3 linked regions of the Pelodiscus sinensis genome follow. The protein of the gene in region 3 interacts with the protein of the main gene of each other region in a pairwise test. Links are inferred from orthologs where the notes say so. Each region holds a gene or a part of one and is shown on either strand. Other genes may lie near its edges. The genes, in order: CDR2, CCDC102B and FAM161A.

Region 1 (3,750 bases), on a different chromosome or scaffold from region 3:
TTAAAATGTAGCTACAAACCCATGCTTTCTGATGTAAACAATTACTGTAATTGGTAGAGACATAACTGCAAATGGAAGGGAAAAACATCTGCATGATTATGAATAAGCAGAAAGGTGAATACTTGAAACAATGTCCCCCTTTACAAACTGTTAGAGTACCCAATTTCTAAGAGTTACCAAGGATTGTTCCTTTTTAACACCAGAGAACTGGGCTTGACAATGAGTACACAGAAGGATCTAGTGGACAGTTCACTGAACTAGAAGCTTGGAGACCTTCGCTCTCTTGAGAGTTGGGCAAATCATTCTTCCTTTCTCCCACAGTCCCATCCTTCCCCATCTGTAAAGTGGGATAAAGATTACCCTTCTTTTCATTCATAGACCTTTAATTTTTGCAAAGTACTACATAATTTCTAGGTATTGTCTCGGATAATTATTTTCAAACATGGAAGCAGCTACTACCATGCTTCACTGTGGCCTGAGATAAGCTTGCCATAAAAACACTTGGCTACAGAAAGCAATGCTGTTTGGAAGCATTTGAACAGAACCAAGCATTGATACCTTTAGACCCCAGGATGCTTTAGGGACCACACACAGACAGAGATCACTTCGGGGACTATTAACAGCATGCACCTATGAGCCCCCTGGACTCACCTGTTCCTAACCCTCTGTACTGCGCTGTCATTCCCACCCTCCCACTATAGCTCCCCCTTCCTGTCCCACCCCACAGCTCCCCCATCCCTCTGTACTCCTCTCCCATTCCTACCCCTTCAGAGCTGCCCCACCCCTCTCTGTACTTCACCATGCCCACCGCCTACGAGCGCTGGAACTATTTTATAGTGGGGATAGCAACTGACCCAGACTGTAAACCTGGGGTGCTGCAGCCCGCCTAGCCCCGGCTCCCATCCTTCCCAACCCCTATTTCTCCTCAACTCCCCCTCCTCCAGCCCAGGAACCTACTCCCGGGAATTAACCCCTGACAGCCACTCCAACACCCCCTCCTCCAGCACGTACTGACCGACTCCTTGGCTCCGCCCTCCGGCTGGAGGCTGCGCACCTATCTCGGGGGGCGGAACTTAATCGGCCCAAACCCACCTTTCCCCCCACTCCACTGGCTGAGTGGAAGCTTTCAACGCTTGATTGGGCGGCGTTCCGGTCGATCCCCTAACGGCGGCGTGCGATTGGTTGTCCGGCAGGGAGGTCAGAGTGCCCGTTTTGAATAATCGTTCTCCTTGTAGTAAAAGGGCGGTTGCCCATGCCACGTTGCTGCCGGCTGCGGTGCCGGGCCCGGCCTGGAGGCGGGGGGGACTCGGCTAAGTCCGGAAGCGCTCGGCAAAGTCCGGCCGCGGCTTTAAAGGAGTTGAACGGTCCCCGGCTCGCCCCGCGCCAGGCTTGTCGGTGAGCGCGAGGAGCCCTCGGGGGGCCGCGATGCTGGCCGACAGCCTGGTGGAGGAGTTCGAAATCCGCGAGGATGAGCCCTGGTACGACCAGCAGGACCTGCAGCAAGGTGAGCAGCCTGGCTCCGCGCGGAGGATGCCCGCCTGACGCGGGCTCGGGGCTCAAGCGAACGGCTCCCGCTGGGCGAGGCGATGAAGGAGCCTCCTCCGGCGGCGTCTTCAGGGGATGATGGGGGTGGGGGGCGACAGGTAAGTCCCGAGGGGGCGCGGGATGAGGACAGGTAAGTCCCGGTGAGGCGGGCAGTTGGGAAACGTGGCTGGGGGGGGGGGGGGGGGAAGATGTGTGCGCCCGGGCGGGGAGCGACTGAGGGGAGCGAGGCGAGGAAAAGGGCGAGGGCGTGGAGAGGACAGAAGGGCACAGTTGCCCCCCCGGGGCTAGCGCGGGGGTGGGTTATTATTTGGGAGACATCGTTAGGCTGGGGGCGCACGGAAGGAGGCTTTGTGACCATTGACATTGCAAAGCGTTTGCCATCCTGCAGCTTCTGAGGGCACCGGGGATTTAACCAAGAACAGCAATTCCCTGGGAGGCGCAATGGTATCGTGCGAGGTTTTTGGGCCGTACGGACTTGTGCAAAACGAACCCTGCGAGTGGCTTCGTGTACCTGGCTTCGGAGCTGGTTCTTCCCTTAACTTTGTTCGCGTCCTGCGTGTGCCACTCCGTGAAAAGCTGCACCTCTTGGCGTAAAGCAGCTTGGGAATGGGAGTGCTTTCGCTGCAGTGCTTGCTTAAAATAGAGCGGCTGAATACTCCTTAGGGGCTTCCACACCCTGCAACCGCCTTCTGCTTGTCTGTAATTAAAGGGCTAAACACTAGAGCACATCTGACGAAGTGGGTCTTTGCCCACGAAAGCTTATGCTCCTACACTTACTTCAGTTAGTCTATAAGGTGCCACAGGACTCCTTGTCGCTTTTGCAGATTCAGACTAACACAGCTACCCCTCTGATACTAGAGCACAATAAAGGTGTTAAGTGGGCTAGTCTTTTGTTAGTCTTTAACTAAAAGAAACTTAAAAACAAAACAAAGCAATGGTCCTACAAGGACCATTGTTAACTTTATTGTGGATAGAGGGTCATTTACTGCTCTCAACTCCTCCTTACACAGGTCCTGTTTACAATTTACTGTGAAAATTTATTGACTAATTCCAATATATGTGTGCTTCTCTTAATACTATAATAATTATGTAGCTCTTATAGGATACAGTTACACCACAGGACAAAGTCAAATTAAGATATGCAACTTCAGTTATGTTAATTATATAGCTGAAGTCAAAGTACCTTATTTCAGCTTTTGGTACTGTTTACACTGCAGGAAGTTGAAGGGAGAGCACTCTCCCTTCAACTTCCCTTACTCCTGGTGAAAGCAGGACTACCGGTATGGACCAGAGTGCCCCTCTCAGTTTGAATTAGCTGTCTTAACTACACTCTCTAATTCAAACCCTGGAAGAACGAGAGCTGGAGCTTCAATCTTCCTCTGTAGTGTACATGTACCCATAGTGCTTTTTCATCAGTAGGTTTCCATGTAACTTTATAAAGCTGGTTTGAGACATAGTAGTATAGAGTAGTGTATGCAGTAAAATGTATGGCATTATCAATTTTCTGAACCTCCAGTAGGCTTTAATTGGAATGCATTTAGAACAAACTATTTTGGGTTTAGCACTATTTAAAATTGGTATTTTAGTCTTATTTTTAAATAAGCTATTTATGTTCTTAAATGGTCAGTTCAGAACTGGAAACTCAGAGAAGGGGCTTCCTCAAAACTAGATTTAATTAAAACTTGGTTTCTCTAAGCTATTCCTCATTTAAGCTCTTTGAGGTTGGGACAGTTCTTTTGTTTTGGTTGTACATTGGCAAGCACAGTGGGATCCTGATACATGACTAGGGTTGATAGAGCCTATTGCATTATAAAGAATAGAAGTAGAAAAAAAAATCATGTTTTTCATACTAAAGTCAAGTAGTTAACAATAAAAATTCCATCTCTGCTAACTGTTGAATAGCTGTACAGCAGTTTTCAGCAGTTTTCATAGATTGTAACTTAACAGGATCGCATACCCATGAATAGTTTGCTGTTGTCTGGAAAAACTGGTGAACCATCTAACATTATTTTCTAATGATTTAGACTTTTTTTCCAATCCATTGTAAAGCTGTCACTATTCAGAGACAAACCTGTCTCTGTGAATCACCTAGCTTCCTCATGAAATGTACAGATCCTTTGGGCTGATCTGAATGAAAATAAATGGAATAACCTTTAGTTGGATTTCTTTTTATTATAATTATTATTCTTTGTATCAAACTGTTAT
Region 2 (3,750 bases), on a different chromosome or scaffold from region 3:
GGTGTAGCTCTCCTGTTGATATCAATGTATCCAAAAGAAGCAGGGAGAGCAAAGGGGGGGGAGCGTTTGTGGGAGAGTTACCATTGTTAGATCCAAAGAAGAAGCCTCTTTCCAAATGACACAGGGGATTGCAGCTACTCTATATAAGCATTATGACTGAAGTAGACTCAATGGGCCAGATCAATGGGCTTGCCAGAGCTTCGCTGATTTCAATGGAGCCATGGTATTGTTTGACTGAATGACTCTTAAGAGGTCCCACAGTGGTAGCATGCAGCTCCTTTGCAGATTCCTATTATAGGCAAGCTGGTGCGTTTCAATCTTTCCCTATATTTGTAGCCCCAATGTTACAAAAGTGTACTATTTTATATTCCACAAAATATTTTTTTTTTCTTTAGTGTACCAGTCATTTATGTTTGTGTGGTGTAAATGATATTCAGAGCTCAAGAAATTACCCTTTTCTTTCAGGGTCTGTATTTTTTATTTGGATTTGGTTAGCTTGCTCACACCTTTTGTGCTTCACAATTTAAATATCACAGGACTTTTGTTAATGGTGTAATGTACTTTACAATAGCATGCAAAATGTACCAGAGATACATGTGGAGTGGGAGAAGCTGTTGCTGGCCCAGAAATCAATCAATCAATCTCTCTCTCTCACACACACACAATATGCAGTTCAGAAAAGGAGGAGAAATTACTGATGAAAAGCACAATAAGCTGTGTGTGGCGTGTATCTGTAGGTGGTGACTGACTTGCATTTAAAAAAAAAGTTGTGGTATTGGTTTTGATACAGCCTGACCAATGGGAATCTTCTTTCTAGTTAGTGTGGAGTGGCTTTAATGCTGGAAATAATCCTGTTGGCCAAAACCCCAGAACTGTGCAGATCAGAAAAGGATGCAGGAAATTCTGTTTACACATGTGTCTGCAGCACTGAGCAGCAAGAACAGCCCAGCAAGCCCAAAGGGTAAGGGGCTTTAGTAGTCTTGTGGTTTTATACTGTGTTAATTTTTATATCTTTCTGCAGGGTGGTGTGTATAATACTCACCCAGGGAACTGAGGGTGGAAAGCTCTATAAGCTATATTACAGAAGTACTTAGATTTAAAAAAGAAAACTATTTTGATTGTGTGATTAAATTGTGTTTTACTATTTTCCTTTTGCTTTCCATTAAACTACCATTGGACAATTTTTTTTATCTTTGCATCATATTAAACATACCTTGTCCTGTATGTATGCAATATGCTTATTTTAATATAAGATTTTAAAATATACATTTGCACAGTAAAAGTATGTTAAACTATCTTTATTATTAATTTAAAAACCTGAATGATTTACTATAAATATGGAATGTTGAAGGCTTACACTGTTTATATAAAAATTCAAAAGTACAGTAGGAGAAGGAGGTACTGTTTGGGTCATTTTCTAAACCTCACTCAACACTAGAAATTTTAGTCTCAGGGGAATAGTATAGTTTGAGTTTGCAACTTGCACTCAATTTCTGTTGCGGTTAACAGGAAGTTGTGTAATCAGAAGGAATGTTTCCGATATAAAATGTGCAACTAACTGATAAATTTGTGATCTTAATTTCCCCCTGAAAACTCTCTGGATACAGGCAAAATTAGGAGCTATAAATCAGTAAGGTTTTGTTTGTTTGTTTTTTGTTATACTGCACTTTAAAAATAATAAAAAAGGAAATTCAGCTAGTACCGTTTCAAATAATGGACAATCTCAGAATGTGTGTGGATGAGCTGTCACTAGGAAGGACCTGAGGAATAAATTCCTAAAGTAATACAGAGCAATTTCATAAATGCATATAGCAGACTGTTCTAACTTCTCAGCAGTTAAAACCCAGGTTCTCTGGCTGTATCTAGCTTTTCATTTTCACTGTTTTCATCACTACCACATTAGTTTATTCCCCACAACCATTAATGTTGATATTGGGTAGGAAACATTTTTCTTGCTCTAATATAACTTACAGAAGGAATACTTAGTGTTCTTGCAACTATTTGCCCTAAAATGCAAATGTGCCCTGAAATGTATATAAATATACTGTATAAATGTTGTTTCATGAATGGGACTTGTGTGTTCTTCACCTATTCCAACCATCCAACAAATTTAATGGACATTCAGTAAGTGCAAAGAATGATGTATCAAGCTTATTTTCTATTTTTTCCTGTCCTTTATTTAATCCAGTGCTCTTCAATTATTTCTTTTACTAATCACCTGTAATTGGTTAATTTATTGCCATTTACCTCAATAGATAGGCCTTAGCATCTTTTAATAGATTAATTTATTAATCTTACCAATAATTATTTAGCCCCACAAAAATATATAGAACTTTCTGAATCAAAGAGATGTTCCCTGCCCTAAAGAGTTTGGTGCTAAATATTGTTTTTCATCCCTTTCCATTTCTTCTAAATCTCTATCAAATCATTTACTGATTGCTAATGTGACTGCTTAGCACAATTTATAAATGCTCACACAAGGTCTTGGCAAAAACAAGTTGTGACGTAGTGGGGGTACTTGCTGGGATGTGGTGACCTCTGCTGTCTGGAGCAAGACCCAGCAGGGAAAACCTCACTAGGCAGAGGTAAGGACAAACTTGTTGAACCAGTGGCCAGACACCCCCCATGGAGAGGAACAAAGGAAGGTGAATGCGGCCCTGGCTGGGGGGCAGGGCTGGAAGTGGGTTAGTTGGTTGGTGGCTGTCTGTGAGGATGGATGAGACAGCCTAGGGAGAGGAGCTGGAGTTTTAGGGGCCCAGTCTCCCCCATCTCAAGGGGGCCTGAGGCATCCTAGCCCAGTTCCTGTAACCAGACTACATCTGTGCTGCGCTGTGCTGGAGGAGCAATAAACCACCCTCAATTCCACTGGCTGGTACAGTCTGTTTGTGCCATTTCGGGGTGCAGGAGACGGGGAACCCCCAACGTGCCGTCACACAAGTCTAAAAAAATCTTCAGTTTGCTGCACTGCTTATGACGTTTCTTTGCAAATCGTGTACATAGGATGGATCCCTCTAACATATATGATAGAATTTAGGAATACATTGGACTTAATTCATATACACTTTCACACCAGTAGGGCCTTGCTACCCTCTGTTGGTTGTCTCATTGTGGAAGGTCAGATTTTCAAAGATCATCAAAATTCTGGATAAGACATCTGGCTATGGCCCTTCCCTAGTTAACCTCTAGATATAGCCAAGGGTGCTAGATACTTTATAGGATAGGTTAACTGAGTACAAGCCTACATATTCAAGGGCTAAATTAAGACTACTTGATAGGTGTACCCATATTTTAGAGCAGTGGCTTGCAAACTCTGTTGGTTCGTGTGCCACTTCAACATTTTTAAGGCAGTTGGTGGAACATCAAGTTTGTCTGTCATTAGCGGTACATGCACTGCAGTTTTCAGATAATTCCATGGGAATAAGTCTGAGGAATTTTAATTGGACTTGATATATTTGTCTGTCTGAAATGCTCTACTTTTTGTAAAAAAAGAAAAAGGAGAGAGGAATCCAAGTATTGTATAACAGAGCTCAACCAGGGTTGACCAAAACTCAAGCAGTCACAGAAGCAGTTAGATATTCTTCTCCCAGCAAGAATTCATATATATGGATGATTCTATAATATATTTTATAAGGTTTCAGTTTTCACTTTATTAACTGTAAATTCATTTTCTCTAACTGCCATACCCTCATTCTTATTTTGCTGTCTATGTTCCTTGTACTCCTTTTTCCTTCACCTGACTTCCAGATTACG
Region 3 (3,750 bases):
CTTTACAGATCTTTGCAATCCAAGACTTAATATTAACATCTTTGTATGTAGTTTAGGGATAATTTTTGGTGGAGGGGGAGACTCCAAGCTTTTGGTAAGTAGTCAAGGTCACACTTTTCTAGGTGTGGGGGGAGACAGTGAGGTCTTGGCTACTGATTGAGAGTAGAAGGGAGTTCAGGAGCAGGCCACTTGGGTGCAGGAAAGGGGGTGGGATCTGAGGAAGTTTGGGTGAAGGAGGAGGTTGTGACCTGGTCCAGTGCATTGGGGTGTAGGCTCCAGGAGGGGTTAAAGATACATTCTGGGAGTGTAGCAGAGTGTGCAGAGTCTGGGAGATAATAGGGGCATTGGAGGGGGTGGGGTGCCAAAGGCAGGCTCTTGCTAGCAAGTGCTTATGCAAACAGCTACTGGACAGGTGACTGCTCCAAACAAGCTTCAGTGCTTGGCAACAACCCTAAATGCCTTCTGTTCCATGTGGCTCTGTGATGTGGGCGGGGGATGGAGGAGTTCATGCGCTTCTACTCCCTCCAGCAAAATCTCTTAGCTCCCTTTGGTGGATTTTTGGCAAACGGGCAGAGAGATTTTGCTGACTGTGGGGCACCAGGGGAAGCCTCTTCCCATTCCCCCCAGTGAAGGAACAAGGAGCAGCTTGCTGCTTTGGGTGTCCTATGCTGTAGGGGTGGACTGATTCACCCGATGCATCTTGCTCACCCCTGTTCTAAGAACTACTCAGTTGGTCTCTGGCCAATTAACTCCCCCAACTGGGATGGCCCAAGCTCTTCCCCTGGGGTGACGTTCCCATGTTTCAGTTCAATGAAAGTTGGCTGAAATACACTTGCTTTATCCCTAGGGGGTTTGGGAAGGGAGAGGGTAGCACCTTCTGTCACTAATCATAGCTTGAGCAGCAGAAGTGGCACAAAACCATTGCAAGCATATCGAGTGGAGACTCGAAGCACTCTGACAAAGATACATCTGCCCATCGGCTGTGGTTCCAGCCCATCTAGCACTGAATTACCCTTACGCTGAACTGATCGAGGAAGCTAACTTGGCGCGGGGTGTGCATCCAGCCTTCCTGGGAACAGCCTGAGCAGAAAGGCGCAGCAACTCTCAGAAGGGAGGACTGACAGCCCCCTCCTCCCCAACAGCGGGGCAGGAATCTCCGCACTCCGGGGTCCCCGAACTTCCCGTCGCGCCGCGGTCCGGAAGGGCTCTAGGAGGGCGGAGTCTCAGCTTGGGGCTTGACTCGCAGTCCGCATAGGTTTGTCCTAGTAGACGTGCCGTAGCGTCCCCGGTAACCGCTGTAGCTGGGAGCCAGAGGCGGCGGCCGAGCCAGCCGCTGCCCGCGGAGTATGGACGCGGCGCACCGCGCTGCGCTCCTCACCGCCTCCTGCCTCAGGACGCCCGTGAACCCGCGCACCAGGGCGCCGGTGGCTCTGTACGAGCGGGAGAGGCGCCCAGCGGCCGCCGTGGAGCAGCAGGTACCGCGGGGGCGGGGCGGGGAGCCCGGGCCGTGTCTCCTGCGCCGCTCGCCCCCCGGGTGAGGGCAGCGACATCCCGCTCCCCTTGCGCGGGAGCCTCCCCCCCCGCCTGAGCCGGGGGCTGGCGGCTCCGGCCGTGGGGCGCTCTCGCAGGGCGAGGGGGGGGCTCCTGCGCCCCGCACATCGCTGGGGCTTAGCCGTAGGGAGCCGCTCCAGCCCCCACCGGTTAACGGGGACCGGTCAGCATTACCCAGTAAGGGTGATAGGTACCGCTAATCCCCACTTCGGCACAGCTGAAGCCTGGCAGCCATGCTGAAGCAGGGGGCGGAGTGTGGGTGGGACCATGCGTGGCCGTTTGAGAAGGCAATGCCTTTCCCTGCCTCTTATATCTGCTGCCCATGGGGGTGAAAGTCTGTGAGCATCTGATCGCTATTATGTCAAGTAATGTCTCTGTTGTATAAGGGAGGCAATGCATTAGAAAACGTGGAACCGGTGGCATTCTCCTAGGCTGCCTAGCTCCTGCTAACCTTTTCATGGCTTTGATGCTGTGCTTTATGGAGTTCCATCAAGTCCAGTGACTGTCCCAACCTGCTAGGAGAACTAGGATTTAGTAGACAGATGGCTGCTTTTCCAGCCAGAAAGGGTCACCAGATCTGACTGACCTCCTGTAAACACAGGGCACCAGCACCGCCCTGCATGCTAAATGCCACTACCAAAATTAGTCTAAGGTATTTCAGCTTCCAGGAGACTGACCACTGTGCGCCACAGGCAGAGAACAGGAGGAACCAATGTCCACCAATGCCTGAGGCCCTTGGAATGGCAGGAAATTGATTGAAAGCTGCACAAAGATGATCCTAGCAGGCAACTTGCATCCCACACTGTGGAGGAAGGTGAAAATTCCAGAAGACTGCTACCAGTCTGATCCTCCCTCACCCCCAATATGTTGCTATGATATTCCTTGTGGCAACTGCAATAATGCTAAGGAACAAAACACACTGGGTTTACATTTTAAATAGGGTAAGATGATCTTCTGAAGATTAGTCTCTGGATTAATGATGTATTTTTAATTCTGTCTTCAAGTGAGATTTTAAAACTAAAAGTAATATAAGTTTTGTCTCTTAAGGAAATACTTTGGCATGTGGTGAAGTATTTTCTGATATATAAGGACACCCGTGTTCCAAGTCTGCCTTTTTAAAACAAGATGCTACAAGAGCTGTAAGAGATAAAGGAGATTATTGATGAGAATATAGGAATGATTCCTGTAAAAATGTGTTTTAAAGAGGGGTAGAAAGCGGAGTGTAGTTTCAAGTTCAGGGAAGAGATGTTGAAAGGTGTGAAGGTAAGAATGAAGGGGACAGCTTTAAAGCAAGAGGTGGTGCTGAGTTTAGCATACTGAAAGGTAGAAATAGGAGTAAATGGGAAAAGACATGTAGATGAGAGTAAGATTATGTAGCGTGATGAGAATGAGAACAAAGAGCTTGAATGTGATGCACTAGGCACTAACAGAAGGGGTTTGAAGATGAAGTAAAAAGTAATCCTACAAAAATGGAGAGAAATTACTAAGGGTGAGTACAAAAGAACAGTAAATGAGTGGCTATGAAATCAGAAAGGCTAAAGCACAAAATGAGATATACCTAGCAAGGAACATAAAAGAGGTTCTACAAATGTGTTAGGAGCAAGAGAAAGACAATGGAAAATGTAGGTTTGATACTTGGGGGGGGGGGAAGGAAAACTAGTAATGGATGATTTGAAGAAGACTGCCCTGTTTAAGGCCTATGTTGCTTCCATCATCACTATACGCAGTCCCTGAGTTACGTGGATCCCTACATACGAACAGGGCTTTTCTCGCCACGGAGGATGTGGGCGGCAGGACCGCCGCCCGCGTCCTCTGCAGTGAGAAAAACTGCTCCGTCTCTCCCTGGTCTGCTGTGGGTGGGGAGCGCAGCTAGTGCGCCCCCCCCCCCCCCCCTCCCCAGCAGACCAGGCTTTTCTCGCCGATGCCTGGGGTAGAGCAGCTGGGGCGCTGCCGGGTTGGTCCCCGCAACGCCAAGGTGTGGTGCTGCGGGGACCAATCCGGCAGCGCCCCAGCTGCTCTGTCCCAGGCATCCAGATTCAGCCACTGTTGAAACTGATCAGCGGCTGATTCCAGGAAGCCCGGGGCAGAGCAGCTCTGCCTTGGGCTTCCTGTAGTCAGCCGCTGGTCAGTTTCAACCAGTGGCTGAATCTGGACGCCAGTTCCGATTTACATACAAATTCAACTTAAGAACAAACCTAC

The links.
Region 1: the proteins of FAM161A (region 3) and CDR2 interact in binary tests that used the Homo sapiens proteins (3 or more experiments, as listed by UniProt). The two-hybrid records come from large-scale screens. The link is inferred for Pelodiscus sinensis from reciprocal best matches to the Homo sapiens genes FAM161A and CDR2.
Region 2: the proteins of FAM161A (region 3) and CCDC102B interact in binary tests that used the Homo sapiens proteins (3 or more experiments, as listed by UniProt). The two-hybrid records come from large-scale screens. The link is inferred for Pelodiscus sinensis from reciprocal best matches to the Homo sapiens genes FAM161A and CCDC102B.

Annotation. Positions count from the first base shown.
Region 1 is NC_134726.1:22,798,768-22,802,517, reverse strand, and holds the start of CDR2 (cerebellar degeneration-related protein 2), read left to right. Parts: upstream 1-1,243; 5' UTR 1,244-1,425; coding exon 1,426-1,504; intron 1,505-3,750.
Region 2 is NC_134712.1:92,060,366-92,064,115, forward strand, and holds the start of CCDC102B (coiled-coil domain-containing protein 102B), read left to right. Parts: upstream 1-827; 5' UTR 828-961; intron 962-3,750. UniProt on the Homo sapiens protein: During interphase, forms fibers at the proximal ends of centrioles to maintain centrosome cohesion. During mitosis, dissociates from the centrosome following phosphorylation to allow centrosome separation. Contributes to CROCC/rootletin filament formation.
Region 3 is NC_134713.1:180,771,957-180,775,706, reverse strand, and holds the start of FAM161A (protein FAM161A), read left to right. Parts: upstream 1-1,309; 5' UTR 1,310-1,346; coding exon 1,347-1,475; intron 1,476-3,750. UniProt on the Homo sapiens protein: Involved in ciliogenesis.